7 linked regions of the Oryzias latipes genome follow. The protein of the gene in region 2 interacts with the protein of the main gene of each other region in a pairwise test. Links are inferred from orthologs where the notes say so. Each region holds a gene or a part of one and is shown on either strand. Other genes may lie near its edges.

Region 1 (4,636 bases), on a different chromosome or scaffold from region 2:
TCTACTTATTTGCTTTTAATCTCTCTTACCTGAGGATTTGACTTCATCCAGCTCCTCCTGTATCTTGTAGACTTCACCTGCACCTGCTCAATCTATTTGATCACACTGTAGAGGCTCTCCTTCATCCTGAAGCAGAGGGTCTCCTGCTCCTCCTCTTCCTCTGGGAGAGCGTTTCTATGGAGAGCTAACTCTGACAACAATGGTGCAGGATACAGCCAGGCAGGCAGCTGTCGGACAAGAGCAGAGGGACAGACAAAAAAGCAGTCAAGTGTTTCACGAACTGTCTAAAGCCCAGTTGTTACACAGCCCTTAGAGATAATAGCTGCTCCCCTTAACGGCGAAAGTTATCTGAGGTTTCTCTGTTTGTCTAGAGCTGTGGGATTATCGTGGATTACACTCTTTTCGTCCCTGATTGGATTGCAAAGTACACACCATCGGATAGCACGTAGCACATGACAACAGGAATCAAAAGATCACCTTCACTGCCCATACTTATTACCCCTGTCCTTGAGTGTAATGGAATAAAGTCGAAAAGAAAGTAGTAAAAAGACCTTTCTAAAATGGTATGAAGTAAACCAAAGACTTCACAACTAAATGAAGTTAAACTTTCCAGATTTTCTAAACAAAATAGAGTTGGAAATATTAAAAATAGTGACTATTCACTAAAAAAAAGCTGCTTTTAATTCCACCAACAAACGGTTCAATTAATATTTGTTCAGATTTAGTCATTACTTTTCACTAAAATTATTATTTTGTTAAATGTACACCTCTATGCTCGATTTGCTGCTGTCATGGACCACAGAAAAGATCTGAAATACGTTTAGGAGAGCTACTCAAAATGTGTGGACATAAACTGGACTAATGCTTGGAATGTTAGTAAAAAATGTTGTTTAAATAACAAAATAAAAGAGGTGTCCTTCAAAATATCGCATTGTATATATCCTGCCAAAAAAAGAAGATTTGTTGATTTGTTGTTGAAAGAGGAAACCATTTATCACCTGTTTGTGGACTGCATACATACAAATATGTTGTAGATGGAAGTGGAAAATTATATAGAAAATTTAACTAAAAGAAACTGTACAATTTTTGGATAAAGAAATTATTCCGGGTTATCTTAATGACAATGTAGACAAAGATTGTATCTTTATTACATAGATGTTTTCATCATTTGCAAAATTCCATATTAATTAAGCCAAATGGTCCAACTCCAAACCTAAATTCCAGCATTTTTTGAATGAAATCAATCAGTACTGTAACATTATCAAACAACTGCAAAACCAAAAGGCAATTCGAACTGATTTGATTTTTTTTTTTTAATTTCATACACTGTATACGTATTTGTACGTATACATAATTTTTTTTTTTGTTTTGTTTTCTTTCTGCAATGTACATATTCAGTAACCCCTGAGACGTTCACTATTTTGTTCTATTGTGTTATTTGTCAATAAAGTCTGAAAAAAGAGGTTTAGGCATGCTGAAAGGATTTGGCTGTCCAGGTGTTCAAATCAAACATGCTTTTTTCTCATTTGACCACGCCTTTTGTTGACTTTTAACCAATCAGAACCCCCAAATAATTCAGCGGGAGACATGTTTCGGAAGTTGCCTTTTCCGCTTACACTGTGGGAAACTTATCAAGTTGAATTGGACGATATTTAAGTAATTCTCCAAAATAACATTTTCTCGTCGGTGGTATGTATCACGCATTGTTACAAAATATCATTACGGCCGATTTAAACTTTCGACTTGACCACGTGATAACAGTTAAACACAGCCTGTCGCTGACTTTACTTACTTCAAACTAGTCTAAAAGTAAAAATCAAAAACGACAAACGGAACCTGATAAAGGACAAAATACATAAATTGTCACTAGAGTCAACAAAAAAGTTTCAAAACTGTTTGTTGAAGAGTTTATATTTATATTGCGTTAATAGAAACACATTTTCTGATCCTGAGTTGCTAAAACGTAGAAATCTTTAGTCGGTTAAGGTATTCTAAATGCAAAAACTAAAAAAAATCACTAGTCTTTCTTGGTAAAGCATGCCTGTTTTAGATCACTTTTTTTCTTCTATACCTCTTTTTTCTTTAAGAATTTCAAAGGTGTAGCTATTGAAAAATTGCCTATGTTTTCCCCATTGTGTTTCTAAAATGTAGTTTATTTCTGTTTGTAGGGGGCACATTGACCTTTTATAAGGAATGAGGCGTTCAGGAGCACCCAGTCAGCTTTTGGGGAATGCAGTGAAAAAAACACGATTTGTTTCACCAGCTTCACTACTTCAAACTGAATCAAAGCCTTTGGCCCCCAAACCGGGTTTGGTGAATGCATTGGATAAAGTAAGTTCCTATTCACTGTGTTTAATTCTCAATTTTACTAATTTCTCTTTTTTTGAGTAGCTTTTGCAGTTTACCTTTTGGCATATCCCTTCAGGGGTCACCACAGTAAATCAGCTTTTCTAAATCACTAGAAGCAAAGAAATATCCACGTTCAGCGGTTTGACAGTCATATTTTTTTGCCTCATGTAAATTTAGTTGCAGGGATTACTAGGGACCAAAATGAGGACTCAAGTGTGTGTAATTAAACTGATATCACTTCTTTTGCAGGTCCAGAGAAGTCTATCTGTGGCAGTGGAAAGTGAAATAAATGTGTCTGCTAAAACCAGCCAAACTGCCCCTTTGTCACGGGCTCTGGCTCGAGTTCTCAGTGCTACTGACAGTAAAGAAAACGAGGCTGACACCAAATCCGTCCCTGGATTAAGAGATTTAACAGAAGATGAAAATAAAGGTATGTTTCTAATTGTTTGTGTAAATTTATAAGGCAGTACTACTTCTGTTGTATCCTAATGTTTTGGGGAGTCATCAGTAAAATAGTCCCTCTGGTCTACAGTAGAATTTTTTTTTTGCCCTTTATTTTTATACTTAATTTTTGTTTTTTGGTGGTTTTGATCTGACTCTTCAGGTAAACATATTTTGCAACCCAGTTTGTGTGTTTCATACAGCACTTTTTATTCAGTCTGACATACAAGTTTAATTTATCTACTGAAAAGATGTCAGTGTTGTAAAATAATATGCTTGACGGAATTAAATAATATCTGAATTTACTTTATATAACACTTTCAGCTAAACTGTAGAATTTATTCATCATCAGCATCAACAATATATATTTACTTTGTTTAAACTTATCACTTGTATTTCCTTAATTATCATAATAATGGGAAAACAATTTGGCTTTTTTTCTCTAACCTGCTCCACCAACATAAGCATGTCCCTTACAAAACTTTACAGACACATACACACACATACTTCCAAAAGGTTTTAGAAAACAATGCTTAAACATTCAAATTACCATTAAAGCTGACAGATCTAATTAGAACTAATACTGGATTTGGTATTGATCTTATAGACATTGCTAACGCTTTTAGTCAATGACATGACGTCTCACCTCCTGGGACAGACTGTCCAGGGTGTACACACCTTCGCCCAGCATAACCGTTACAGGTACTGTTCAATTCAATTCAATTTTATTTGTATAGCCCAAATTCACAACAACAGTCGTCTCGATGGGCTTAGTATCGGTAATTGAAAAAGTGAAACATGAACTCAAAAGGATCATGAATACAAAGAGTTCAATAGGAAAATTCTAAAATGAACTAACAAACTGACTAAGCTATACTGGCATCCCTGCCCTTAAACCCCTTTCACGGTAAGGAAAAACTCCTAAAAAAAACGGACTCCGGAAAAAACGAAGAAACCTCAGGGGTGCCTCCATGAAGGAGGGATCCTCCCCCAGGACGGACAGGCGATTTACCAGAACTCTTAGAGAAGAATTAACTTATCTAACTCTACAACTACATATTTAAAGTCCAGCAGACGAGCTTTATCCAGACGGAGTTGGGGGGACAGTAAGGGGCGAGAGTCGAGCAGGAGACAGGATCCAGAGCCAGGTGTCAGGGCAGGAGCAGAGACGAGGTACACGGTCAGGTGCAGAGCAGAGACGAGCCAGAGGCAGGATCCACAGCCAGGTGTAGGACAGTAGTACTGTTTGGTGATTTGGTTCGGACGGGTATCAAATTGCACAGCGCCGCTGAAATCGCGCTGCTGCCAGACCTTTGCACCACACCCGTCGCTTAAATCACACCACTGGACCTCAGCACGCGTCTCTACCATGTAATTAACTTTGAAAACTGGCTGCCTCTGCCGCGCCACTCGCGTTCGGTGTGAACACAGCATTGCCCTATCCATAAGACATGCTCCTAAACTTAACCCTTCCTCTGGGTCCGTGCGGCCAAGAAAAAAGTTTCAGCACTGGCTGCACGTATTTGGAAAATTACGTGTGAATAGTCACTTTCTTTCAGGCATTTCATTGTATTTGGTGTGAATTGAACAATCTGCATGTGCTATATTAAAACAGTTCTGAGCCACAGCTAGTGTTGCTGGTGCAATGTAGCCTAAATTATAATGTAATTCAAAGCATTTTTCATGGGCTAGTAAAAGTTATTTTTCGTGTGTAATTTTATTATACAGCAGGGTCTGATACACACAGAAAATATGTCACTTCACCGTTTCTGAGAAACACCTCTATGTCTGTCATTTGTGCCCCCCCTCTTGTGCCAAGCTCTTCACTCATGGAAGACACAGCTTG
Region 2 (4,419 bases):
ACATATACAAGCACAGTTCTTTTTTTTCTTGATTTTTTTTTTTTTAAAGTGTCATGTGGGAAGGTTATTTTGTAGAAATTGAGTTCTGCATAAATGATGGCACATTATCTGCAGACTGTCGAATCCTCTAACCAATCAACAGAAAAACTTAACGAAAAGTTCTTCAAAGTTCTGTGCAAAGAACGGTTCCACCTCGGTCGGTTCTGCAGCTGAAGTTTAGGGGAGATGAAGGGGAGGGGGGGCAACGGGTTCTGCTTTATTGATCCAACACTCGACTTGGCGACCCGGAGAAAAGAAGGACCCAACCTCATCTGAGAGTGGAATAGATCAACAGGAAATGGACCTGCTCCCTCGTTTAGCCCCGCCCCCCTTCATTTGGACAGACGCTTTGGTCCGTTCCAGGAAAACAACTTTTTTTGTTTTGAATAGATGGAAAGATCAGAAGCATGCCGCTCTGGTATGCTTCTGATCGGTTTCTTTTTACGGTTTCTGTAACCGCACTTACCCAGAATGCCATCTGACATATTTCCTCTATGAGACAATTTTAAAAAACATTTTGGGGAGGAAGAAGCTCCTAAAAACCATTTTCCTGCAAAAGCACATCATTCCAGCAAGGTTGATAAAATAAAAATTTAAAACACGAAAGCGAAATGGTTGCCGGTAAAAATCTTAGAGTGTCCTCCGACGGCAGAGCCACAGGTTCGAGTCCTCGGTCTGTCCGCCTCCCCGACCGCACACATGGAAGCCCTGATTGAGTCCTTTTGCTTTTTTGATTCAGATGGTTTGAAACTTAACAGAAATACATACATACATACAAAACCAAATGATAAAAAACATGAATAAAAGGGGAAAAAAAAGAAGAAAAAAAAACATCAGAAATTGTGGCTTTAATGATTCCAAAGTCCGCCGGTCTGTTCTTGATAAACTTCGATGACGTCCTCATCCTCCATGCCCAGCTATAAAAAAACAGAAGAAAACACAAACCTTAGTGACCACTAGTGCTTGGTTTTCGCTCTTGCGAGTGTCGCTTACCTCTTTTGGGGTTTGGTTATCTGCGATTCTCTGTCCCTCAAAAAGAAACCGTAGCGTGCTCGCCAGGACTCCCTGAAAGAAACGTCATCCTCTGCTGTTAGACCATTAGGAGATTTTTATTTTTCCTTCAATCAGCTCTCCTTGAACGCCGCCGCGAGGCGCTAGGAGCACGAGTAACGATTACATAGACGAGCTTTTAGGTGTAACCCTTATGCTATCTTAGATGACCCCACCCTTACATTGACGTGTTCTCCCTACCATGACAAAAGTGGAAAGATTTCATGTAATCCATGGACACCAGTGAAGATCACAAATCATTGAAGAAGAAAGGTTAAGCGCACTGTCTAGTGGGTCTAGATGACCCAACTCCTAATGTTAAAGGGCCTAGGATAGCACAAGGGTTAAAGAAAATTAAGCTTAAAATTACATTTAAAATTGGGTTATTTTTTTTTTATATTTAAAATCGTTGTGAATCAGGAGCAGACAAAATTAAACTTAGTTGGAAAAAGGTTGCAGGTATGATTCCAAAGCTACTACGGCAAGCCACAAGGCTCCCTTGCAGACAAATAGACTCGTGTAACTTTTTTTTATTTTCCTCGTCCGAGCATCCGGATCCAAACTGTGCAGCTGGATAGCTCCGATATTGCTCGCCATTTTTGTTGCACTGCTAATATTAGCTTGGGAGTCTTAGTAAGCTAGCGGGAGAGCGTGTCAAAAAAATAAATAAAAATCACTAGGAACTTTTTATTTTTTGCAATAGATCAAAAGATGATCAGAGTTATCTTTTTTTTAAATAATGGCGTGTTCTACCATAAGGAACTGCATTTGGATGGATCTGCGAAGGCTGTCATTGGAAAAGTGGCGATGCGTCTTCCTCTTCATACCTGTCTCTGGCTGTAAGACTCTTTCAGCTTCTTTAGATGTGTGGTCATTTTCACCTTGAAGTGGATTTCACTGCTGTCCTGTGGGCAGAAACGGACACACACAAAAAGGTGATGCAGCTCAAAAACAATAACAACTTCCAGCATTAAAACGAATACATCTGTAAATGATAAAGAATTGGCAGAATCATTGACCAAAAATAATAGCCTTCTATAAACAATAATAGAGACACCACCACGTGCCATAACTTTATTTGAAATGGAGTAGAATACGGTTTATTTCTAAATGCAGACAGTAGTGACAACAAAAGCAGAGACACAAAAACAACCTACCTGACCGATCACTTTTAGTTTGATGTACTCTCCATCTTTCTTGTCGCCTCCGTCCTGATTGGAAGGTTTCGTCTCCTGACAGAAACATCACAAAACATTGCTACATGATGCGACCGCTAGCACGCTTTCGAGGAAGGCCCGTCTGTTTACTCCGCGGGTTCCACGAACACAGAGAACATCCACCATAGACACGAGTGTGGGTTCGGTCCCGCCAGCACCAGTTCTGACCCCCCCCCCAAAAAAAAATCTCAAAAAACTACACAAAAGCTCACGTGGAGGGTAAAAAAAAATCGCTAAGTTCAGTCAGAGGCCTGCAGCTAGAACAGCTAACGGTTAGCATGTTGTTAGATAATCACGTACGAGGCAGCGTCCATAACAAACACATTATCGATTTCTTAGTAAAGTGTTGACAGAAAATCATTCGAACTCTTCAACGTTCTTTTTCTTACCGTGTCTGACATGTTTATCCTGACTGTGTGCGGGAGGGGGAGGGAATCCCTTCAAGGTGTAGCGTTAGCTTTTAGCGGTGGCTCTTGCTTTATGTTGTGAGGAATGCGACATCAAACGGAAGTGACGCAGGGCTGTTCAAAATAAAAGTCGCGTGAAGGAATTTGTTTTGTAGCGGATTGTCTCCATAAGAAAAGCGCGCGCGCGCACACACACACACACACTCATACAAAAACCTTGCCTTTTCCAGTATTATGAAGTCTTTACTCCTGTTCAATATTCAAATGCAATATATATGTTTAGATTAAATTTATATATTTTTAACATGGGCTTAAAAAATAGCATTTTATGATAATTTAATAAATAACTATATATATATAGAGAGAGAGAGAGAGAGAGAGAGAGAGAGAGAGAGAGAGAGAGAGAGAGAGAGAGAGAGAGAGAGAGAGAGAGGATGAAACAGTCGACAGCCGACAGTGTGCTCAGTGAATGTCTCAGGCAATGGAGAGCAGAGGATACAGTGCTGGAGGACAGATCCTCATGGGAAGACAAACCCCTGCATGGGACGTACCACCGGACCATAACTGAAGTGGCTGATATCAAGAAGTCCTACCAATGGCTAGAGAGGGCTGGCCTACAGGACAGCACTGATGCGCTCCTCCTGGCAGCTCAGGAACAAGCCCTGAGCACCAGAGCAATAGAGGCTCAGATCTACCACACCAGACAAGACCCAAGGTGTAGGCTGTGCAAATAAGCGCCTGAAACAATCCAGCACATAACTGCAGGGTGTAAGATGCTGGCAGGGAAAGCATACATGGAGCACCACAATCAAGCAGCTGGAATAATATACAGGAACATGTGTGCAGAATATGGACTGGAAACCCCAAGGTCAAAATGGGAAACACCTCCGAAGGTGGTAGAGAATGAGAGGGCAAAAATCCTGTGGGACTTCCAGATCCAGACTGATAGGATGGTAATGGCGAACCAACCAGACATTGTAGTGGTGGATAAAGAACAGAGGAAAGCCGTTGTGGTGGATGTGGCAGTGCCAAGCGATGGGAACATCAGGAAGAAGGAACATGAGAAACTGGAGAAATACCAGGGACTCAGAGAAGAACTGGAGAAAGCATGGAAAGTGAATGTGACAGTGGTGCCTGTGGTAATTGGAGCACTCGGGGCAGTAACCCCCAAGCTGGAGGAGTGGCTACAACAGATCCCTGGAAAGACCTCAGACCTCTCAGTCCAGAAAAGCGCAGTGCTAGGAACAGCTAAGATACTGCAGGACCCTCAAGCTCCCAGGCCTCTGGTAGAGGACCCGAGCTTGGAGGAGAAACCACCCGCGGAGGGTGAGAGAGGCGTTTTTTAAATGTATATATAGTTTTCGTGTTTGTTTTTATATTATTTATTTATTTTGTATTGGTGCAAAGCACGTTCGGTTGTGCTTTTGTAGGAAAAGAGCTATATAAATAAAGTTTGATTTGATGTAATCTTCAATATTCTAACTTTGAAGAATCATAGTTTATTAGAGACTTTTCACATGTTGATAATTAATATAATGTCAATTAAAATACTCTTGTTGTTTTAGATTTTTACAAGGCATTTTTAAGCCCCCCCCCCCCCCCATCACTCTGGAATGGCAGAGTTTATAGTAGACATTCTTTAAAAAAAAACAAAACAAATTTAGAAGTCGAGGATCCCACATCTATTGAAGTTTGTTTAAATGCAG
Region 3 (4,806 bases), on a different chromosome or scaffold from region 2:
GATGAAGGCCCTATTCCGCTAGTTGGGGATTCTCTCTGCGTAGCATCAGGGGCCGCGGAGGAAAAGCCACCACGTGTTGAACGGACAGGGAGGCTCTGCGGGAGGAACGGCTCCGGTGCGCGCGATCCTCCGCGTTTACTGCCGCATTATGCGCTTAAACGCGCGCAGTTTGTGGGCTTTATGATCAATCATGACGTGTCAGAGATAATAGTGAATGATGCCACGCGGGCCAGGCCCTGTCTGATGCGGTGCACGCGATATTGATTGCGCGTAACAGGCAGATGCGCAGTTTTTGTGCGTCAGACCGCCTTCAGTCACTTAAAAAAATGTTTTGCCGAACATCAACTGGGGGAATGCATTTATTTTATTCAACTTCTTTGATTTTGAACATTTATTCACTTTACATTATATTAAAAAACGAAAAATAAATATTTTTAAATATTGTGAAAAAGACGTTTGATTATTTTTCGCAGTTTGCCTAAAAACACAAAAACTTATTGTAATGCATTTCTAGTGAAAAAGTTTGTGTTGCGTCCAGAGGGACCCCAAGCTCTATGCATCCTTGTCATTCAGCCCGTTTGGTAACACTGTACCGTCGTCGTCGCGGGTGAATCCTATTTAAAACGTCCACCGCTCGGCTGGGCTGCAAATCAGCTTGTTTACAATCTCACACCAACACTCACATCAATTAACTGGAAATTGATTTTCCCCTCTCTGCAGTCTTATATATATATATATATATATATATATATATATATATATATATATATATATATATATATATATATATATATATATATATATATATATATATATATATATATATATATATATATATATATATATATATATATATATATATATATATATGATCACTCAGTGACATCAGAGGTTCTGTTTGATTTTCCTCTGCACGTTCTTTTTTCCGTCTTTTGTGATGAATAAGTAAATAGTGAGACTAGTCGAAACTAAAAGATAGCTGACACGGGAGTGGACCAGATCCATCTAGCCTGCAGCTGCTCTTTAAATATTTAGTGAAAAATAATGGCGTCCAAGACATCACCTATAGTAACATTATTATCTTCATTTCTCAAAATCAGGGCGACTGAGAGCTTCGTTTGTCTTTTTCGGGTGATAAATCGACACCAGCCACGTGAAGCTCCTGCGGGACCTTTTACCCTCTTAAAACATCACAACTAAGGCGTATTTTCGTTGGTATAAATAATAATATAAATTGTCATTTTGAAATATCGAATGCAATTGTAGTTATTTTTCTAACCTAAAGAAAACATAAACAACAGAGCGACATTTCAGACAAATCAGTGAACCGTGTATTTTTATTTTATTTTAAAGAAATGTCGCGACTGTTGATTCTCCTGGTCACAGAACCCAGATGGCCTCGGTAAACACAAGTTTTGCACTTAGAAAAAGACAAATGCAGATAAGTTTGAACCTTTGGGTGCGTTTCAGGGTTTCTCTAACAAGGAAATGTTTTGGAAACTAAGTGAACGCGCTATTTGTTCCCATCCGGACGCACAGACTGGAATCTTTGCTGTCTCCCCCACCGATCATCCAGACGCGCGCAGCACGTTTGGTTCTGCTGCGCGCTTTCAGAAAGAGAGAGAGGATTTTGAGAGGAAGGGGTGTGGTTGAGATGGGTGGAGGTGAAAAACAGCGTGACTGAATAGCCCATTGACCAATCACGTCTACAGTGGGCGGGGCTCCGCGTTGTCCCACTGCCGCACGGGCCCTCAAAGTTTGTTTATTCGCGGAATGCGGTGTGTGATGAAAACGTGTTAGTAAGTAACTCCCTTTCTGCCAATAATAATCATATGAAAGTTGTTTGGACGCCAAATCACAGCGTGGACTTTTTTTTTTTGTTTCATTACTGGAAACGCGTTCCGCCGGTGCCATTTACGCACGGACCATGCCCGCGCGACGCTGCGTTTCCATGCGCCGGCAGCCGCGCTCGAAACTCTTCACAGAGTAGGTGTTCAGCACAACAAGAGCCGAATTACAACAATCTTAATGCGAGAGCAGAGGGCGGACACTTCGAGAGCAGAGAGAAGAAAGTTGGTTGGAGATCGCGGAGGTTTGCGCAGCGCTCTTCATCTGCGGGAAAGGAAAAGAGCAAAGAAAAAAGCTGAGATCGGCGCTTGATCAGTGTGAGAGCTTGAGAGATACTCTTGCAAGAATGGACTCAAGAAGCTGACATTCCCCTGTAGTCAAGATAAGCTTTGGCTTGGCTAACAGAAGGGGTTAAACCGTATCTAAAGGGAGTGTGGAAAAGCCAGCCTTTCTTCCCCGTACGGATCAACTCATTGGGTGGGAGCTGAGAGAGAGACAAGAGTCCCCAGCAAATCAGGAGCTAATTGATTAAAGAGACTTCATTTGAATAGGAGGGGGGCTGGCGAGGTGCCAATCGCCTTTCAAAGAACCCCCCCTCCCTCCCTTATGATTAATCGTAGAGCATTATTGATAATCATAACGGGGCACATGCGCGGTGGATGGGCTCGATTTACGTAATTTTTCAGGAGGTTTTGTAGTCATTTTTTTATTCTTTGCCTGCTGATGTGCCAGCCAGCATGTCGCGGAGGAAACAAGCGAAGCCGCAACACTTCCAATCCGACCCTCATCTGCCTTTATCAGAGCACAATGGTGAGTCCACGCAAACTATCGCTCCTTCTGGAGAAGCGCCGGCTATTTCTCACACTTTTAGCTTGGTTTTTGTGCAAGCGTTCCTGGTTAAAGTTAATAGTTTTCAAAGTTTAACTTTACTCTCCTTTTTTTAATTAATCTCCTTTCAATTATTTTTCTTTACGATTTTTAACAAAAGTTTCGTTTATGGAGTTTCTTTGATTGCAAAATAAAATTTAAAAAGACGTTTTTTTATCATATTTCCTATTTTGTATTAAAATTATTACACAACGTTTTTCACTTAAAACAGAAAAAATCAGCTTTTGTAAAACTCACCGACGCTCTCCACGCGTTTCTAAAGTTTCCGAACTTTTCTTAAGTAAATATTATAATCTTAACACTTAAATCTTAAACAAAAGTAAGACATACGCTGAAAACTCACTGTTGGTGGAGTTTTCGTGGGCCCCTCTACAGTGGTCAGTCTCGATGCGCGGACACGGACCACCCAGTCGCGCCAGCGGGACTCCAAATGGTGCTGCGTCCCGGACACATAACCCCCTCTTCCGCGTGTTTCAGTTCGGCGCTGCGCTGATCAATCCAAAGCTGTCGCAATCCCGTTTACCTTATATCATTTTTATCAGCACATCCGTGCGTAAATATGCACATTTGTGCTTTTTTTGTCCTGTGTTTGGTAAAAAGTGGCTCCAAAGTGCGCGAAAGAACTTGCAGCTTTTTTACAAATCCTCAATGGTTCCGTTACTCATCCTTTTTGCACAGATAGAAGAAGCAGAAATAACTTAATCACTTTAAACACACGCAAATACGAGTAGAGAACAACTTTCTGGTTATAATAAAAATCGTTTGTATTTAATTTTGTAGATTGTGTTTTTTATTGTATTAAAATAACAAATCTTTCTGTATTTTGCACGCGCAAGTTCAGGCCTTAAAACTTTCCAGAGCCTTAACAGAGGCGAGAAAAAAAAATCTACTGTGAATGCTTTGTTATCAAAGTGTCGCTTTGCACCTTGAATGAAAAGCAGTGTTTGGAAAAAGTCCCCTTGCGGGTCCAAATCCCTGCAACTCTGCAATCTGAGGATCTCAAAGTCTGAAATTCAAAACATTTTTAAAACATATTTGTTCTCAGTTTGGTTCTGGAAAATTTATACAATTGATAAAGAAAAAGGAAAACGATTAATTTGTGTGTTGCGTCATCAAAGTAAACGGCCAATTCTGCAGTTCGGTAACACTCATTCCATTTTTGCATTTTCTTATTTTTTGCTGTGTGTTTACCGGCAGAAGGGGATTGTATATATATATATATTATTATATATATGTACGTTTTTTAGAAGGATCACTTGAATTTGTTAATAACCCATACACAAGGATGATATATTTTTCCCCATAAAAACGAACAAAAATGAATATGACACTTATTAGTGTTTATTCCCTGGAAAATCATTTGTGTGGTGAATAATCTCAGCAGGGCCTTGTGTTTGGTATTGAAAAGCATGTGCAGCTCATTTTGAATGGGGTTTTTTTTCTTGTAGGAGAGATAGTCCTGCATGGAAGAGTATTTTCAGACTAGTTCATGTGATTTTTAGGAACTTGGTGGATAATGCAAAACCTGCTTATTTCCTGAGTGCGGTTTTCATTTTCTGCATTTTCCTCCAAATCTAATAAAGGAAGAAGTCACTTTTGTCACCAACTTCAGCAGTCTGCAAAATCCTACATTTCTCCAATTACACCCAATGGTAGCATGTTAAAATACCTGCAAGTGTCTTGTGTGTGTGATTACGGGAGCAGGGAGATGTTGTCTTAGCATTAAGGGGTGTTTTGCTCGGACGGAAGAAATGTGCTGCTTGACTTGTGAGGAGTTGTGGTAGGCGGAAGTGGAAAAGAAAGGCGTTGTGTTTGCAGCTGAATCGAGGGATGCTGAGGGCTGTAGCTGCTGGGAGGTCGGGGTGAGAGCCACAGAGGGGGGGATGTTTAGCTGTTTTAACCTTTGCCAGTGTCCCTCTGTGTGGAGGTGATCAGAGTTCAGGGCCCGTGTGCTTCTCTCTGCTTCGCCGTTGACCCTGCTGGTCGGAGCTGCAGGCGGGCCAGCAAGGCCCAGTTCTTTATTTAAGCATGTGTGAGATTGTGAGGCCTTATCAATGTTATGACCATCCC
Region 4 (4,094 bases), on a different chromosome or scaffold from region 2:
GAAACCCACAAGGTAGGTTCACAGATGCTTTAGGGCTGTAAAACCCCTCACTACACACTTTATACCCTTTTTCTCAAAAAGACATGAACATTTTCAGACTTTTCTCTCTTGTTTAAACTCTCGAAGTTCAAACATTTGTAGAAAAATAAGTCCAGTCTTAGAGAATGAAAATAAAGATCTGATCTTCATGGAAGATTTATGTGGACTTGGAGAGCTGCATGTATCTGTACAGGGGAAAAAAGGAGATTGATTGACAAGGTTTCCGGCCAAGCAGGATGCAGAAAAAAAGTGTGCTGTTTTTTTTTTGTTTGTTTTTTTTAAAGTTAGGCACAACTGTAATAGTTGACACGCTCTCCCGCTATCTTACAGCCCCTCATAGGCCCAAGCTAACATATGTGGTCCAACAAAGATGGCAAGCAGCATCTGAGCTTTCCAGCTGTACAGTTTTGAGCCAGATGTCGGCTCAGACGAGGAAAACTAAGACGACCTTTGAATCTAGTCGTCTACAAATAGATGCATCGCAATGGAGCAGAGCAAGGAGCTTGTGGCCCGCCGATTGTAGCGTCTACGTCACAGCAACAGGCTTTTTCAGACTTTTTTTTGTTTGATTCACCACAATTTGAATAAAGAAATACTTAGAAACGCAATTTCTAACTTAATTTTCTCTATGCATGTCCTCCTTCATGAAAAAAATGACAAAAACGTTTGAAAGACACCAAAAACGCCATTTTCAATAGAGTGGGTCTTTTAAAGGTTTTCATTGGGGCCTTAAACAGAAACTCCAGGACTTGATAACTGGAAATTTAACCGTCAACCATTTCAGATTTTCCTTAAAGACTAAAACCAGTAGCAGTTTCCCCTTTTTAGCCTTTTATCAGCTTAAGTGAATCTGTTGAAAGTGAAAAGCTCAAGCACAGTAAGCACTAGAAAAATGAAGTGGGTAATGTGTGTCAAAGCAAATACCTGTGAATTCTTGGATGCTGGTTTTTCCAATGAAATGACTGGGTTGAGCAAGTTTTCTTGTGTCACTCTCAGGGCATCTGTGTAAGTTTGATCTCTCCAAAAACGCCCCCTCGTTCCTGTTTTAGCATGTCGCGTATTTTACGTTTTTTTTTTACACGATAAAGGGGGTTATTCTGGTTTGTGGAATGGCAGATTTTGCTGCTCTTTGTTGGACAGGCTGACCTGCAGCAGTGTAAGCTGAAAAATGTTTACTGTCTGATCACCCAGCAAACCAAGACGAGGAGCAGAAGTCCTGCCGTGCCAGTGGCCGTATTGTGCAGCAGTTCAGAGTCCGAAACCACATCGGATTCCTCCGATTCATCAGATTCTGAGGATCTGGAGAACTGGATGATTCTGGGTCAAGGAAAGCGGGACGAGGACCAGTCCATCTCGCTTCACCTTGAAGGGGCTTCTGACAGCAGCACAGGTGAGCGTTTGTTCTTATGTGTCAGCAGGAAAACTTACTAGAAAATATTTATAATTTGTTAGTTTTTTGGTGCATTTTCACAAGAAGGATTTGAAGGATGGACACCTTTAGTAATGACTTGTACCATGCCCCTCAGTTTACACACATCAAAATGATTAGGAGCAGGCCATGTTGTCTACGTGGTTAAAAAACCTGTATGTTTGTGGACCAGCTGTGCTTTGAAATTTGTACATTTTAGCATTCCTGGCACTGTCTGTTTCCTGGTTGCTCTCCTCCCTGATGCATCTTTAAGTATGCCTGTGTGCATTATGTATTAATATGTGTGTGTGGGGTGGTGCTTATAAAATATTCAATTTCTAATCAGCATGCATGTGTAAATACACACGGATACCAACAGTCGTAACACTTATGCCGAGAACAGACAAACAAACGGGAAAGCGGGAGTGCGTGGGAGGTGTATGTGTGTGTGTGTGTGTGTGTGTGGGGGGGGGGGGGGGGTAATCAGAAAAGGAATAAAAATGTTTCCTGCAAATCTCTTTAGATCTACATTATCTTAACCTGCAGCCTCAGCAGCCCCCTCCCCCCCCACCTCCACACTCTCCCATCTTTCTTTTATCCCATTTTCTCACTATTGTCCTCCCATCTCTGTCTCCCTTACCATTTTTTTCCCCCTCATTTGAATTTCCCTGGGCTGGTGTTTCTGCAAGAGTGCCCACTGTCTCCTCTACACACAGCAAGGCTGAAGAAAAGGGAGGGGGGGTCTGGAGCTGGTGGGAAGGCTTGAGGTCTTGGCCTGGTTTTGGGAGGATAGGAGGATTTTAGGTCTCTGTCTTCCTGTCTCTTGTCTGGCTTCTCTCTGTGATCTTTGGAGCTTGACCTCATGTCTGCACATTGGGGGTTACGGGTGTGGAGTAGAAAGAGTCAAGTGAGAGGAATGGAGCTGGGCTTTGTCAAAAAAAAAGAGGGAGGGGGGCAAATAAAGGCAAGGAAATTAAGGGACGGGCCTCAGTAGTCTTGAACCGCACTCCCATTCCTTGCTCGGTGACAAAATCAAAGCGAATACTGTGTCTGTTGTCGTCAGCTCGCAACAATGCCAAAATGAGTTTCCTACATGGCTAAAGTCCTCTTGAGGAGAGAAAAGGATCCTTAGAATTTATTCTGACAAACATTTATTTTCACTTCCAAATCAATCCCTCTAACCACAAATGTAAGGTTTGTTGGACAACTATAAATAGTAATTAATATATATATATATATATATATATATATATATATTTTAATTGAAATACATAACAATATGATAAACAGACCTATTTTTATAATAGAAAAAGAAACAAACAATATAATTCATCAAAATTAATTGTTACATATTATTGATAGTCTCCCACAATGCAATTCACCTGTGAGGCCATTATGATAGAAAATCTAAAGTATTTTAGGTGAACATCTTTTTGTAACTTTTTCTTTTGTTATTTCAGTTTTCACCCTTCAGTCTCCACCTTTTCTGATCTTGCCTTTGGTTGGAAATCAAAAAGTCTCCCCAGCGATGATGCCGGCTTAACATCTGACTCCTTGACGATACAATTTAGCCGACGCTCGCTTCAAACGTAGTCGATGAAGTTAAGGGCTTTTGAGTTAATCAGCTGATGCTCATAAGCCATAGCAGAAACAAACACTGGAGAACAAGGAGGGAATGCTGGGAAAACATGACGTTTCTGCTGATTTCATGCCACTCTTTATATACAGATGAATACGCAGGGCCTTTTCCACTCAGAGAGGAGATGTTATTTCTGATGGTGCTTAAAAAATAAAGCAAAAACAAAACCTTTTGACTATATTTGATTTTATTAAAGTATAGTAATACAAGAAAAACACAATTTTGGTTGTTCTTCAGCAAACATGAAGCATTACAAGAGGCAGAGATTCCCAATATCCTCCTAAAGTTTAAAATAGAATATAGTGCTAAATTACTAAAATTAAAAAAGACCTTAAAAAACAACCATATTTTGAACCACTAATGATGCCAACATTTCAAGTTAAAGAACTACCTCCTTTTTTGTTGTTTTAACTTATAAGAATAGAAAAAAAAAGAATAAAAGTATTTCTGTAGCTCTGAGTTGGCATAGGAAGGATATTTAAAGTAAAATTAAAGACATTTTGCACCGTTTATTGATTAGTTTTCTCCTTTTATATAGAACATTGATACACTTGGAAAAGTGGCTGTCTAGCACCTGGCTGTGAGGGGCAGCTGTCGGTGGGTGGATCTGTGAGGACGTTGGATGAGTTAAAAAAGAAAAGATTAGAAAAGGCGGATAAACTGGAGCTGCCCGCTTGTCTTGAAGCTATGCAGCAGCAACCAAACGGAACAAGAGATGGAAAATGGGCTTCCCAAGATTCAAGCCGCCTGCCTCTCCCACCCAGAAAGGGTGCACGTCCTTGTGTAAAGGATCCAGGGTATAGGCGGGGTGTGCTGAAGCCCAACTTGAATCCAGGGTGGTTAAACTTCACTCGGTGGTCACACTTTTTTCCCCTCTGTTGCTTGCCCCCAGTACTCCTGGCTTGTGTTTTGTTTCCCTCGGTCTTGGTCAGTGCACATCAAACTTTGCTTGAGGCTTAGAGAGGCAGCTCTGGCTCACTATCGGGGTGGCCGATCACATCAAAGTGT
Region 5 (3,559 bases), on a different chromosome or scaffold from region 2:
CAATTATGATTTAATCTAGAAAAGCTAAATTAAATTATTTCAGGTGTGCGGAGATACTTGATCTATTTTTAATTAGCCTTCTGGGATTGTCTGAAATGAAGATCATCACCAACGTCTGTGAACTTTGGCGGATTTTAAACGAGCCGGTGTCAGAAAATAGTTTAAGGCTGTATCTAAGTTGTGTATTAAAATGCACCTTTAAAACTCTATAATGTATTTGTTGCTGCTCTCCTTGAAAAAAGGCCTGAAAATGCGGTTGTTTGCTGTTCTCCTTCTGTCCACTAGGCGGCACTGGTGTCACGCAGCAGCACGCTTTGCGGCGTTTCTGGATGGAACTCTAAACAAGTGGCACAAACACTTTCAGCCTCATAAAACTTCACTTGTTTTCTGTCTGTTTGAGCCACGCGAGTATGTGGTTTGATTTCGCACTGCGTTTGATTCCAACTTCACCTCACAATAATCCCAGTCTGGCCGTTTCTTGATCCAGGACTAATTGAAGCGCAGGTGAAGGCCGCGTTTTGATTCCCACTAATTGGCTGACACACTTGTTGGAACTCCTATGAATGTGTAGATCTTTTGTGCGAACACACTTTCATCTTAAAATATTCCTCACCTTTCATTCGGTCCCTGTCTCGTGTCTCCGGTGCGCGTACCACGCCACAAAGACCCATGCGTAACTGCAGCGCTGGCACTGTGGAAGTGGAAGTGGAGTTGGGGTCTTTGTCCGGACAGATGTAGCGACAACATCCCAAACAAAACGCGCTTATTTGTGCTAAGATGAGGCCGTCTGCCTTCTGTGTGTGTTGGCATTCAACTTCACCTAAACAAAAGGACTGGGGGAAACATCTTGGATTACCTTTTCTCTTTTCAAGGCTAAAAAACGAGCCGTGGACACCCCCCCCCTCTCCACCTTCTTTTACGCACACATTCACCCCACAGCTCTGCTGTTCAGAGCTTTCAGTGAGTTAACTCACAAAGTTTCTTTGCGTGTTATGTTATTGGGCCATTAAGTAGGGTTGATTAAGTGGCTTTTTCATTTGGTCTGGATATGCCTCATATTTCATCTAAAAAACAATTTAGAATAAAAATAAATCTGTTCTTTTTTAAAAGAAATAGTGTCATGTTGCTTCAATATGTCTAATTTAATTTTAAAAACGTATTCAAAAAGTAGTCTTTTTTTTTTACTTGTACTTATTAACTTTTTACATTTTGAGCTTTTAAAAGTTACAAAAAAGTAATTTCTGATTTTGAAAATGCTGCATCTCTGCGTCGTATAAACTTCCACCTAAAAGGTGTAACGTATTCACAAAGCGCTATCAAACATAGAAATTCCCACAAGCAAGATGAAATAGTAAATATGTACTTAGTATTGTCTGATATGGGCAGCAGGAGCCGGAGTGTACGCCTGTGCCTCGCTGCGCTCCAGACTCCGCCCTTTTCCGACCACACGCTCTCCCATTGGCGCGCGGGGCTCGCTCTGATTGGTCAGGCCGAAGCCATTTATTCACTGACAGCCCCTTCACATGAATGGTTGTCTATTAACTTGTTCAAAAACTATCTGGAGTTGTCAAGGCTCAGGCGGACTGAGGCGAAAAAGTACAGTTTGTTGATGCTTTTTGCGAGCAGCCGCGGGAGAAGTTTTGTGGACACAACATTGCCGGGACGTGTTGGGAGAAGGCTCTCTGTCACACACACTCACACACACACGGTGTGACACGCTGAGTGGGAGTGAGAGGGGGAGAGTGTGCGGAGACGCGCGGCTTGATGCTCGTTGTTTTTGTCCAGAGAAAAGTTGCATAGAAAATCGGCAGGTAACTGAAAGCGCTCGTGCGCTCCTCTGTCTGCGCTCAGCTTCTGGAGAGAAGCTCCTTTTTTTTCTTTTTTCTTTTTTTTCTTGTCTTTTTTTTCTGCTCGGGAGCTCCCAGCGAAAAGTTAAAATTTTCCCTGATGTATAACATGATGGAGACTGAACTGAAGCCCCCTGCTCCCCAGACCAACACGGGGGGCACGGGGAACACAAACACGTCCGGCACCGGCACCAACCAGAAAAACAGCCCGGAGAGAGTCAAAAGACCCATGAACGCCTTCATGGTGTGGTCCCGAGGCCAGAGGAGGAAGATGGCGCAAGAAAACCCCAAAATGCACAACTCGGAGATAAGCAAGAGGCTGGGCGCAGAGTGGAAACTTCTGTCAGAGAGCGAGAAGAGACCTTTCATCGACGAGGCTAAGAGGCTGAGGGCCCTGCACATGAAGGAGCACCCGGATTACAAATACCGGCCCCGGCGGAAAACCAAGACCCTCATGAAGAAGGACAAATACACCTTACCGGGCGGGTTGCTGGCTCCTGGAGGAAACGGTATGGGGACCGGGGTCGGTGTCGGGGTAGGGGCCGGCCTGGGCGGTGGGGTTAACCAGCGGATGGACAGTTACGCGGCGCACATGAACGGCTGGACCAACGGGGGCTATGGCATGATGCAGGACCAGCTGAGCTACCAGCACGCAGGTCTGAACGCGCACAACCCGAGCCAGATGCAGCCCATGCACCGCTACGACATGAGCGCCCTGCAGTACAACTCCATGACCAGCTCCCAGAGCTACATGAACGGCTCCCCGACGTACTCCATGTCCTACTCCCAGCAAACCACGCCGGGTATGACCGCCCTGGGCTCCATGGGGCCCTCCTCGGTGGTGAAGTCCGAGTCCAGCAGCTCCAGCCCGCCCGTCGTCACCTCCTCGTCTCACCGGGCCGCCCCGGGCTGCCAAAGCGGTGATCTGAGGGACATGATCAGCATGTACCTGCCCGGGGCGGAGGTCAGCGAGCAGACTGCCCAGACCAGGCTACACATGTCCGGCCACTACCAGAGCACCGTGCCCGGGACGACGATCAACGGCACGCTGCCGTTAACACACATGTAAGGGACAGAGCGCAGGAGGGGGGCAAAAGCAGACTTTTATAAAAGCTACTGTGGACTACTTAATGTTGGACTATTTTTGTACAGAAAAAAAATGGGTGAGAAAAAGTTGTATAGAAATCTTCAAGAAAAAAAGGGACTTTTTTTTCTTTCCTTTTATCCTAAGGAAGCATAGAGGAACGGTAGATCCCCTCTTCACTGTTGGATGAAGTTTGGAAGACTAGAAAGTGGGAGTCGCAATCAAATGTTTTATTATTGCAATCACCTTTTGTACAGTATTTATCAAAGAAACATTACAATCAGATGAAATTGTTTGTTAATCTGCAAGAGGTTGCATTTTTATTTTCCTTTTTTAATTATTATATATATATATATATATAAAGCTGGTTCTGCAGAGAACATTAAAAGTGAAAAATAGCAGAACAAGAGTAATGGAAGTGATCAGTTATGCTTCCAATTAAAACATTGGAATAAAAAGGGACAAAAGATGCAGGTATTTTTTTTTTTCATTTAAGGTCTATATTACTAAACATTTTTTATTTCATTAAAAATGTAAGACACTTCTTTTTTTGTCATACAATATCAATTTTAGATTGTTAATTTATATTTCCGTCTCCCACTTTTCAGCTGTTAGCGGTATGACGCTT
Region 6 (4,785 bases), on a different chromosome or scaffold from region 2:
ATCAGAGAATGTGAGTATTATAAAAAACATCTGCACTTCCAGGAATCCCAGGAGCGACACGCAGAATAAGACTGCATCTGCACAGATGTGCTGTAAAACCTTCATTTTAGGATGTCAACAAGGTTCCACAGCTTCACTGAATTTATCAATGAAGAAGAATTTAAGGGATTTCAGGCATAAACATAGAAATATTGTATACTTTCAAACACCACATTGTGTATGCACACATGTCCTTGTGTGTCATCAGCAGCATCTTCAATTTTACTGCAGTCAATTTTTAATAAATCATTCTCAAAATATGGATAGTGTTTTCTAAATATGTACATTATGTTATTAATGCGTATCAGTCAGTCACAAGTGTTTCTACAGTATTGTCAAACTTTTTAGAATTTTCCATAGATACAGTATTGTGTCTGTTGTGCATTTTGTTTAGATGTTCACTTCAGTTAAATGATCAGAGCCGTACACCTGACAGCACATGCTAATTATGAATGCTTTGTTTTCCAGCAAAAGCCCTACGGCATTGTGGAACTAAAACCCAGACTGTTTCCTGTAAGTTGTCTTCATTTTTGGCTTTCTGTTTGTGGTTATTGTATTCATCATAAAATATATGTATATAATCAACCTTTTTTCTGTTCAGGGTGACACCATTCTGGAGACCGGGGAAGTTGTTCCAGATCTCCCAGAGACTCATAGCCATCATTAAAATCAGAACTATTTCAGTCATTTTCTTAAATTTCTGTTGTAAAAACTATGTAAATTCCATCAAAGTGTCAATAAAGGCTAAAAATATAACTTCACTGGTTTCTAGTGAAATTATTTCTACAAAAAAAGATTATATTTCAATTAATTGTCATTTATTAAAGAACATAGAAATGCAGCATAATGCAACTTGATGCATTAGGTTTTGCAGCATTAAGGTCAGAATATTACTCATGGTGATATTAGTGACAGAAAGATTTAAACTTTTCTTAGGATAAAGTCAGTTTGCAGATATAATCATCTAATTCTTATACAGTAACTGTTAACAATCATGGGAAACAAGGACATTAGAAGATAGATTTAGATTTTGTGTTGTGATTTATGACCAATGCATTAATCTCCCACTCCCATCATTTTTTGATCTATTGTAAAAGCATTTCCAGTGGTCTTTCAGTTATGAGAAAGCAGTTTTTAGGCAAAAGTTAAAAAACTACAGTTTTCTAGGACAGTTTCTGCAGAGCAGCAGTAGTTCATCAGAAATTCACCTCTGAGTTGTGGACGGAACTGTTGGCGTGGAGTAAGCCTTCACTCATTTCCCATCATCCCTTTCTTTACTCTCTCTCTCCCCCACTAGCTTACAGCTCACAACTGGAGCCAGTTATACACTTATAATGCAGATGCCATCTCAGACGAGGAAAACGAAGACGATCATGGATCTATTTGTCAGCTAGTGGATGTTTTAGAATGAAGGGTAGCAGGGAAATTGTGGACCTGTCAACTGTAGCACCTACGTCAGCGTTATAAGATTTTTCCAACAGCAGTTTTTCATCTAACGAACTCAAGACGATTTGAATAAACAAATACTCCCAAATGCAATTTTGATCTTAATTTTCATATGCATGTCCTCCATTGTGAGAAAAATGCTACAGGAAGATGTTATAAACCCCAAAAACAGGATTTTGGGGTCTTTAATTTTCTTTTAATGGGGAATGGTACTCTTTTCATTAGATCGTTTAAAGTTAGACGTGCACTTATAGGCCAATAATGGGCAGTAATGCATTATTGGAAAACTGTTAATGTTTTCAATTTTTTGGCCATTTCCTACGAACATAAAAATGTAAACAAAGTTCCTGTCTACAGTCAAGCTATAATTTCCTGTGTTTGGACTTGTTGACATTTTATTTTGAAAATCGGAAACCTGTACCGACTATTAATAGCTTCCGTAATGAAGTCTGAGGAAGGAAGGGTTAATACGACCGTTTACTTTTTATTTTTTTTTAAATTGACTGTGTTTCTACCAGACTAGAGGTTTAACCCATATCCTGTGGCACACGGCTTCAACGAAGTCGAAGGTAAACTCGACACCTTTTTTATGAACTTACTGAACCGATGTGTGGTTGTTTTGTTAGCTCTGCTGGCTAAACTTTAGCCGCTGTGTGTGCTAGCCAACTTAGCTAGCCTGCTAAGTTTTATTGGGGAATGTATCCCCTTATTATATTATACTTACTGTTTATGTGTTTGTAAAAAATAAGTCTAGAAATATTGGAGAGGCTTATATGTTTGTGTCAAGCCTATACTTGGGTTTTGATGTCATTAGCTGCTCAAGACAAGAAATCAGGCTATTAGCTTAAACAGAATCAGACAAACAAAACACGAACGTTACAAATTACAAAACGACATTTGACGAAATATTTGATAGAGTGCGAAAAGCTCTTTATCCTGACGCTCTTTCAATTGGAGAAAAGAATAGACTCAGATAATCATATTTCGGGGGACAGTGTTAAAGTATGGCGATGACGATTATGAAAGGCTGCCATGTTATAACACGTACAGTAGACTCATTCTCTATGTTTATTTTAACTATACATACGATAGAAACAGAAGGTCAGTGAAAGTATTTGAGGCTTTGGGTAATTTAATATTAGTTAAAAACCGTGTTGATAAAGAAAACAACACACATCTTTTACCATTAAGCGTTCCAACAACTAGTGTGATGTCACTACATTTAGCATGACCAGGACAACCTTGCATGAGAAACCTGCCTCACGTTTCTCATGTAAGCCTAGACACTAGTGTTTTTCATTCTTTACCAAATAAATGTAAATAATATCATATATTTGGATTGTATGTTGAGTAAAAATGCTAATTGGGCTTTGTCACTGTATATGTAAAGGTGTTGTCCATATCTGTGATCTATGCACCATATGTTGTTGGATGTTCAAAAGTTCAAAAGTAAACAAGAGTATAAGTACAAGGCTGCGGGAGAAGAAAGGAATTAAGTGTTATATGTCTACATCTAATACTTAAAGCATAAAATTGACAGCTCAGGATTTCTGTTCAGCCCAATGAGTGTTACATTTCCCCTCAAATTCATGCCAGACCCAAAGTGATCCAAACTGCACTGCATATTACTTCATTAATTGTGATGTCAAACTTGTAAGTTTAAGATTTCTGTACCAATCCCTATTTTACTTAGAGCTAGAGCCAGATTCCTAAACCAGCTCCATTTAGTTTCAGAAGATCATGTTTAGGTATGAATTAATATTAATTACTTTTCCAAATTAGCCCTTCAAACTTACATTTGATTAGTTTAAAAATAAACAAGAAAATGTTAAATTTTTTCTTTTAAAATTATTATTATTACTTTCTTTTGAATGTATTTCTTTATTTTACTTTATTTATTTTATTATTATTCATTTTTTTATTTTTATCTATTTTTAGTTCTCCATTTATTTATTTTCTTTTTAGGTGTGTGTGTGTGTGGGGGGGGTGCTAGTCCATTAGGGAAGTCAGGGCATGAATGGAGGGGCTGGACCTCCTGCCCCTCTGGGTTGGCACGGGCCCCTTCCTTGCTGACTGTCTCTCGGCGCTGTCACGGCTTTGGCCCTTGTCTGCGGCTGGCTTGCCGCCTCCTGACTGCCTGGCTGCCCTGGGAGGGGGGGCGCCTACCGCGGCCGGCTGGGGGAGCCTTCTTCCCCTGGTTGTGCCCATCCGCCTGCTCATCCCCGCTCCCACCCAAACAAACGTTGCACACAGGCACATAGGGCTCCAGAAACTGGATGGGTGGGACATGCTGGCGGGGCTTACTGGGGGTGACTCTCTCTGGGGTCGCATCGGCGCCTACCCTCCATTCCATTCCACTTTTACTTTTACTTTAGACACCCTGATTCATCTAGGCCCTCTTTTTGTGATAGTAAAACCTGTCCAACACAAAAGGACTTCAGCTCTAATCTGTTTGCTCAATATTTTTAGGACTAAGTTTAACAAAACCAAAATGATTGAATTGAACTTTTCTTCGAAAATGATTTAGTGATTCATTTAGTTTTTTTGCAGTGATACTCAGCCTTAGTCATCCCTAAGATTGAAAACTGAGAAACTATGTGAGCACACATGCTAACAAATGTTAACTTGTGCATAAAAAACAAAAGCAAATGCTTTATTTAGATTTAATTTGTTCACTGCCAATTTCTTGACTAGTAGTCTCTGCATGAAGCCAAGTGAATGTTTTCAGCATTTAGTGATTTCACATCTTTTTTCAAAATGTGTTTAAGTCTCCTCTTAAATTCCCCTGCATAAATAAAAAAAGGACTATACTGATAAGATCATAAGAAATTTTATAAGGTTGACCTCTATTTGAATTTTTTTTCTTCATTTTTTTTCCAGATCATGTCGGCTGTCAAGGTCGCCCTGCAGCACGCTCAGAAAAACGGCAGGAGAAAAACCTCTGAAGCGATGTCTGTGGAAGTGTCTCCCGACTCCAAGTGTCCCATCTGTTTGGACGGTTTTCACAACGTTTCTTACTTGGATCGTTGCCTGCACAAGTTCTGCTTTCGCTGCATTCTTGAGTGGTCCAAGAACAAAGCCGAGTGTCCACTCTGCAAACAGCCGTTCAATACAATCTATCACAGTATAAAATCCGAGCAAGACTTTCAAAAGTATGAACTGAAGCAGCAAGTGGAGAACTCCTCTTTTGGGTATTTCGAGGGAGTGAGGTTCAGGTACCGCACCACTCTTACCGGTGTCCATCGGCAGATGCGAGGAAGAACCTCTCCGCCTCCGGATAACGGGGTGATGTTTGAAGCT
Region 7 (4,564 bases), on a different chromosome or scaffold from region 2:
TAAATTAAACTCCAAATGAGCCTCATCTACATCAGAGGGCGAGCATCTCACATAGAAGAGTTCCATCCGTTTGGTCAAATGCATAAAGGGAAACATTTCAATGTTAAATACTCTAAGCTGCCATGAGATTGTTTTAACACATTTAGGGTTAACATTTATTGCCATTTTCACCGACTTTTGCGATATGCATATATCACAGCTTGACAATGCGATAACGATAAATTTGCGACTTATTGTGCAGACCTACAAGAAAGTAAATCTACGCTACAGGATTCCAAATGTTGACTTATGCTGGTGTGTTAGAAGTAAAATAGTAGCCTAAAAATAAATCTATATTTTTGAACAGTACATAATGTGAGTAGCTTTTTAAAGATGTCGCTAAAATTGGAAGAATTCACAGTTGATTTGGCGTTTACAACAAAATGAAAGACTTACACCAGAGTGCAGATTGATTAAAAAAATAAACATAAAATACAAGCACATGCCTCACAAAATGCACAAAACTACACAAAAATGATTAAAAAAAACTAAAAACTAAGATTTGTTTTAAAAATGGACGCATTCCGTTACTTACACTATGGGTCTATTAGTGGATGGAACCTGGGTAATAACAGAGCTAGATGTTGGCGATGGGAGAGCTGGCTGTATTACAACATTAGCGTCCGTGGTTGCTAGAAGTACATTGGGAACTTGGAGGGATGCAGGATGGACTATAGTGGATGTTGGCAGTGAGGCAGGCTGCAAAGTTAAGTCCTGAAAACATCATACAAGACCTTAGCTGCAGAAATGTTTAGTGAACACCAGCTTAGTTAGTTACAAGAACTTTTTGCAAATATTTTTTTGGTTGGTTTTAGGATTTCCAAATCAAAATTAAGAGCAGTGTTTGAATAAAAAAAAAAAAGAGAGTGGGGTTTGAAAATAAAAAACAAATAAATCGAAGAATTCAAGCAGGTGAAAGAAGAAGTACAATTTCTATAGTAAATGAATGATTACAGAAACAGGAGGATTCTTAATTATTCATGTTTAATAGCACTCCTAAAACCCATTAGAGAGCTAACTAAACAGAAAAAAATCTACCTTGTCATCGTTTGTGGTGGACTCAGGATGAGGAAGGGGGCTGTTCCGATGTGCATCTACAGCTGCGGGTTCCTCAGTTTTGTTGCGTATGACTGGTGTAGCAAGAGGTGACAAATCCAGAGGTAGCTTTGGGAAGGTTAAAAGAAAAAGAAAAAAAGCAGATATAAACTCTGGACTTCAGAGATCATCCTAAGAGAAGATTTGACAGAAGTTACAGAACAAACTCAACCTTCTTCAAGTCATCTTCAGCTGCTTTTTTGAAGTCATGGTCAAAAGGACTGGCAAGTTCGTTGAAAAGCCCGACTTCCTCGCAGTTTTTCAAAAAGCGAGTGGGTGTCGGCGTTTGATCTGTAATAGAGAAAAGAAAAGATAAAAGAAGAAAAAAATCACACTTAAGGAGGCAAAAACACACAAACATCTATAGACATAAAACTTAAGAAGGACTCACCAGCAATTATGATATTGTCGGTCCTCGCTGGGCCAAACTTTAGTGTCATCTCGTGTTTGTGTCTGTGGACAGCCAAGTGGTCTTCATTTGTAAATCTCTGAGCAAGGTAAAAAGGAAATAAATGAATAAAAAAACAACTTTATTCTGCATATCCTTTGAGAGACAACAATGACTCACAATGTTAAATATGTTAAAATACTAACAATTTCAAAAAGTAAACGGTGCATTGCTAAAATCCAAAGAAATCAAACCCTAAATAAACATAAACATAGGCTTAATGTGTGTTTTTATGTTTATTGTGACTGTGCGCGTACATTTACCACAATAATTACATATTTTTACCCTTTAGCCAACTTTACTTTGGCACTAGAAATTAAACAGTTGATGTGACTTCAAAAAAGAGATGCTTTTTATTATTTGACCCTTTTGTGAATCCTCAAATTGGATGCAGACTCAGGCTTTTATTAACTCCAGTGATTCTGTTTTTAAGTGGATTTATCTGTACCACAAATAATCACAAATCCTTCAAACAGTAACTTCAGCTTTTAAAATGTCTGATAAGAATGCACAAACTACGTTTTTTAGTTGAATTATTCGATATTATCAGCAAAGATAGCAAATGTATGTAAAATGTACACATTGAGTACCCAAATATTTGGTTACCATATTTGATGCATATATATATATATATATATATATATATATATATATATTAAAGTTAGTCTCTGGAGAAATACAACTACCGTATCTCAAAACATGTAATATTATAATACCTTCAACGTTTTTAAATAATCTAGAATGTAAAGATGTAAGCTCAACAACTCCACCATATAAATTTACAACACATTGGAATTGGTTTTTTTCCTTCTATTTTTCAAAAAATAAAAATAACTGAATCACTAACTAAAAAGAAATAAAAACTATGAAGAACTATGTCAGCTTACCTGTCCACATCCTGGAGCAGTACACTGGAAGGGTTTGTCATCACTCATATTAAGAAATTCTTGCTATATTTTTGTCCTACAATAAATGAATAAAAACAACATATTTCATCTCAATTAACTTAATTTCCATTTAAAACAGAAATAAATTCAACAGCCACAGAAAAGACAACCACGTAATCGTGGCTGATCAAAAGGAGGGTTAGAGGGTTAATTTTTAGATAATAGTAGAAATGACTCGAGACTCGAGTGGGACTGTTAAGGGCAAATCTAGTGAAAGGACAAATAAGATTTTGGACAAAGCCAGTGAGGAGGTGGGGTTGCTCTGTCTGTGCTTATTTATTAGCTCGGTGATGCAGTGCAGGGTCGTTCGGTGTGTGGTCGTTCGGATTGTGTATTTTTCAACACGAACAAAGAAATTATGCATGTTTTTTGTTGGAAAAAAAAGTTTCACGTTTAATTCCGACTAAAGTCATCACACAACAAAAGCTACATTATGATCCGATCCTCCGCTCCAGCCTGAGCTGAGATAACGCACAGCCGTCGCCATGTTAGAACCAACAAATCACTAAACAGATAACCTTTTGGTATTTAATTTGAGGGGGATTAATTTCACTTGGAAGAAAATAACACCGATTTCAGATAAAGGGTGCCCTTTTTTGCATTTGTAATAAAACTCGCTTTCAATTTGAGTTGTTACTTACCCCTTTAGCCACAAACGTTGTTTTCCCAAACCCCAAAGTATCGCGAGAAAACAATTTCTTCTTCCGTAAACGTCACACTAACCCAAACGCCGTAAACATACTAATGGACACTAATAAACCCATTTACCCATAAATTTACCCATTTACCCATAAATTCAATATTTTATAAATAATTGCCATCATTTCTACTGCATTACAACTTTATTTACAGTCTACGGAACCACCTCAAGTTAACATTCCTTTTTTACTCAAAGGCCAAATTTCTTTAAAACAATTCAATTTAGAGAAACATTATCGTGTACTCTATATTAAATTAAATCACAAGGAACTATTTTTGATTGAAGCAGTAAACAAACCACATGGGTAATTTATATTACAAAAAAAAAAAAACATTTGGTCAACTTTGTTGCCAAATATTACTAATTTACTGACTTCCAAATGACAATTACTTTTTAACTGAGAATTTTGTTCTGATGGACCGTTTTAGTGGCAACTCATTCATTTGACAAACCTCGAAACCCTGTTGGGGTCGGGAAATAAATTCAAAAACCCAAATTATAATTCAATCTAGATTTATTCAACGTGATTTACAAAAGCAAGTAATCACTTGTTGCCTCTTACAGTTCTACTTAACTGCAACTGAGTTAAGTGCTTATGACGGTGGACCCCATATAACTCTCAGAAAGCAAGTTGATTCACAAGGGGAGAAGATGTTCTGACATTTGTGAGAGCAAACTGCTTTCAGTTACCATGATATTCCAGACATAGACGTTGCTGCCACTGATAAATACTCAAATGCATGTATTAAATTCACGCACATTGTTATGTTTGTACATGTTTTGTTTAATTTTGACTGTGTCGGAAAGACTTGAAAAATTTACATTTCCATGACACCAACACTGAACAATTTTAGAAGCCACAATAAAATATGTAGTCACATCTGTAATGAAAGTGTTGGGAGGGCAGTGCTTTACATTGCAAACAGGATCAGAAAAGCAACCATCAAACAGAATAGTCCCATAGCTTCAGACAGGGCGAAACCCAGGATGGCATATGAGAACAGCTGCTGCTTCAAAGATGGGTTCCTGCAAACAAAAAGAAGTCAATAAATGTAAAGAAAACATTTGAATTGTACCCCAAAAAAACATGTACACAGTGACCAAATGGCAACAAACCTGGCATAGCCAATAATGAGACTACCGAACACTGTTCCAATTCCAGCACCAGATCCAGCGACTCCGACTGTAGCGGCTCCAGCACCAATGAACTTGGCGGCGGTGTCAATGTCCCTGCTGATGGCACTGGTCTGGAAGCCTCTCAGTGTGACCTGTGTGAGGGGGCTTTGTGGCATCACAGCAACAGAGCTCTGCAGCGAAAGACAAAAAATGAAAACA

The links.
Region 1: the proteins of sumo1 (region 2) and rad54b interact in a two-hybrid assay, tested with the Homo sapiens proteins (2 studies listed by BioGRID and IntAct). The two-hybrid records come from large-scale screens. The link is inferred for Oryzias latipes from reciprocal best matches to the Homo sapiens genes SUMO1 and RAD54B.
Region 3: the proteins of sumo1 (region 2) and sall1 interact in a two-hybrid assay, tested with the Homo sapiens proteins (2 studies listed by BioGRID, with this or other methods). The link is inferred for Oryzias latipes from reciprocal best matches to the Homo sapiens genes SUMO1 and SALL1.
Region 4: the proteins of sumo1 (region 2) and zcchc7 interact in binary tests that used the Homo sapiens proteins (3 or more experiments, as listed by UniProt). The link is inferred for Oryzias latipes from reciprocal best matches to the Homo sapiens genes SUMO1 and ZCCHC7.
Region 5: the proteins of sumo1 (region 2) and sox2 interact in binary tests that used the Homo sapiens proteins (3 or more experiments, as listed by UniProt). The two-hybrid records come from large-scale screens. The link is inferred for Oryzias latipes from reciprocal best matches to the Homo sapiens genes SUMO1 and SOX2.
Region 6: the proteins of sumo1 (region 2) and topors interact in a two-hybrid assay, tested with the Homo sapiens proteins (2 studies listed by BioGRID). The link is inferred for Oryzias latipes from reciprocal best matches to the Homo sapiens genes SUMO1 and TOPORS.
Region 7: the proteins of sumo1 (region 2) and atf2 interact in binary tests that used the Homo sapiens proteins (3 or more experiments, as listed by UniProt). The two-hybrid records come from large-scale screens. The link is inferred for Oryzias latipes from reciprocal best matches to the Homo sapiens genes SUMO1 and ATF2.

Annotation. Positions count from the first base shown.
Region 1 is NC_019874.2:17,753,838-17,758,473, reverse strand, and holds the start of rad54b (DNA repair and recombination protein RAD54B), read left to right. Parts: upstream 1-1,446; 5' UTR 1,447-1,689; intron 1,690-2,168; 5' UTR 2,169-2,193; coding exon 2,194-2,331; intron 2,332-2,598; coding exon 2,599-2,779; intron 2,780-3,857; exon of another isoform or gene 3,858-4,636. Other genes in the region: RING finger protein 151-like, read right to left, coding at 30-47. UniProt on the Homo sapiens protein: Involved in DNA repair and mitotic recombination. May play an active role in recombination processes in concert with other members of the RAD52 epistasis group.
Region 2 is NC_019860.2:9,899,386-9,903,804, forward strand, and holds sumo1 (small ubiquitin-related modifier 1), read right to left. Parts: upstream 2,729-4,419; 5' UTR 2,708-2,728; coding exon 2,696-2,707; intron 2,322-2,695; coding exon 2,247-2,321; intron 1,995-2,246; coding exon 1,917-1,994; intron 1,105-1,916; coding exon 1,033-1,104; intron 957-1,032; coding exon 888-956; 3' UTR 867-887; downstream 1-866. UniProt on the Homo sapiens protein: Ubiquitin-like protein that can be covalently attached to proteins as a monomer or a lysine-linked polymer.
Region 3 is NC_019861.2:30,112,865-30,117,670, forward strand, and holds the start of sall1 (sal-like protein 1), read left to right. Parts: upstream 1-1,758; 5' UTR 1,759-2,585; coding exon 2,586-2,658; intron 2,659-4,806. UniProt on the Homo sapiens protein: Transcriptional repressor involved in organogenesis. Plays an essential role in ureteric bud invasion during kidney development.
Region 4 is NC_019859.2:12,787,915-12,792,008, forward strand, and holds part of zcchc7 (zinc finger CCHC domain-containing protein 7), read left to right. Parts: intron 1-1,230; coding exon 1,231-1,429; intron 1,430-4,094.
Region 5 is NC_019862.2:18,600,888-18,604,446, reverse strand, and holds sox2 (transcription factor SOX-2), read left to right. Parts: upstream 1-1,947; coding exon 1,948-2,916; downstream 2,917-3,559. UniProt on the Homo sapiens protein: Transcription factor that forms a trimeric complex with OCT4 on DNA and controls the expression of a number of genes involved in embryonic development such as YES1, FGF4, UTF1 and ZFP206. Binds to the proximal enhancer region of NANOG.
Region 6 is NC_019859.2:15,568,291-15,573,075, forward strand, and holds the start of topors (E3 ubiquitin-protein ligase Topors), read left to right. Parts: upstream 1-1,904; 5' UTR 1,905-2,054; intron 2,055-4,365; 5' UTR 4,366-4,368; coding exon 4,369-4,785. Other genes in the region: ndufb6 (NADH dehydrogenase [ubiquinone] 1 beta subcomplex subunit 6), read left to right, coding at 508-552, 641-706. UniProt on the Homo sapiens protein: Functions as an E3 ubiquitin-protein ligase and as an E3 SUMO1-protein ligase. Probable tumor suppressor involved in cell growth, cell proliferation and apoptosis that regulates p53/TP53 stability through ubiquitin-dependent degradation.
Region 7 is NC_019879.2:22,381,318-22,385,881, forward strand, and holds the start of atf2 (cyclic AMP-dependent transcription factor ATF-2), read right to left. Parts: upstream 3,247-4,564; 5' UTR 3,171-3,246; intron 2,546-3,170; 5' UTR 2,518-2,545; coding exon 2,470-2,517; intron 1,623-2,469; coding exon 1,526-1,622; intron 1,426-1,525; coding exon 1,307-1,425; intron 1,204-1,306; coding exon 1,078-1,203; intron 754-1,077; coding exon 575-753; intron 1-574. Other genes in the region: atp5mc3 (ATP synthase F(0) complex subunit C3, mitochondrial), read right to left, coding at 4,141-4,255, 4,346-4,536. UniProt on the Homo sapiens protein: Transcriptional activator which regulates the transcription of various genes, including those involved in anti-apoptosis, cell growth, and DNA damage response.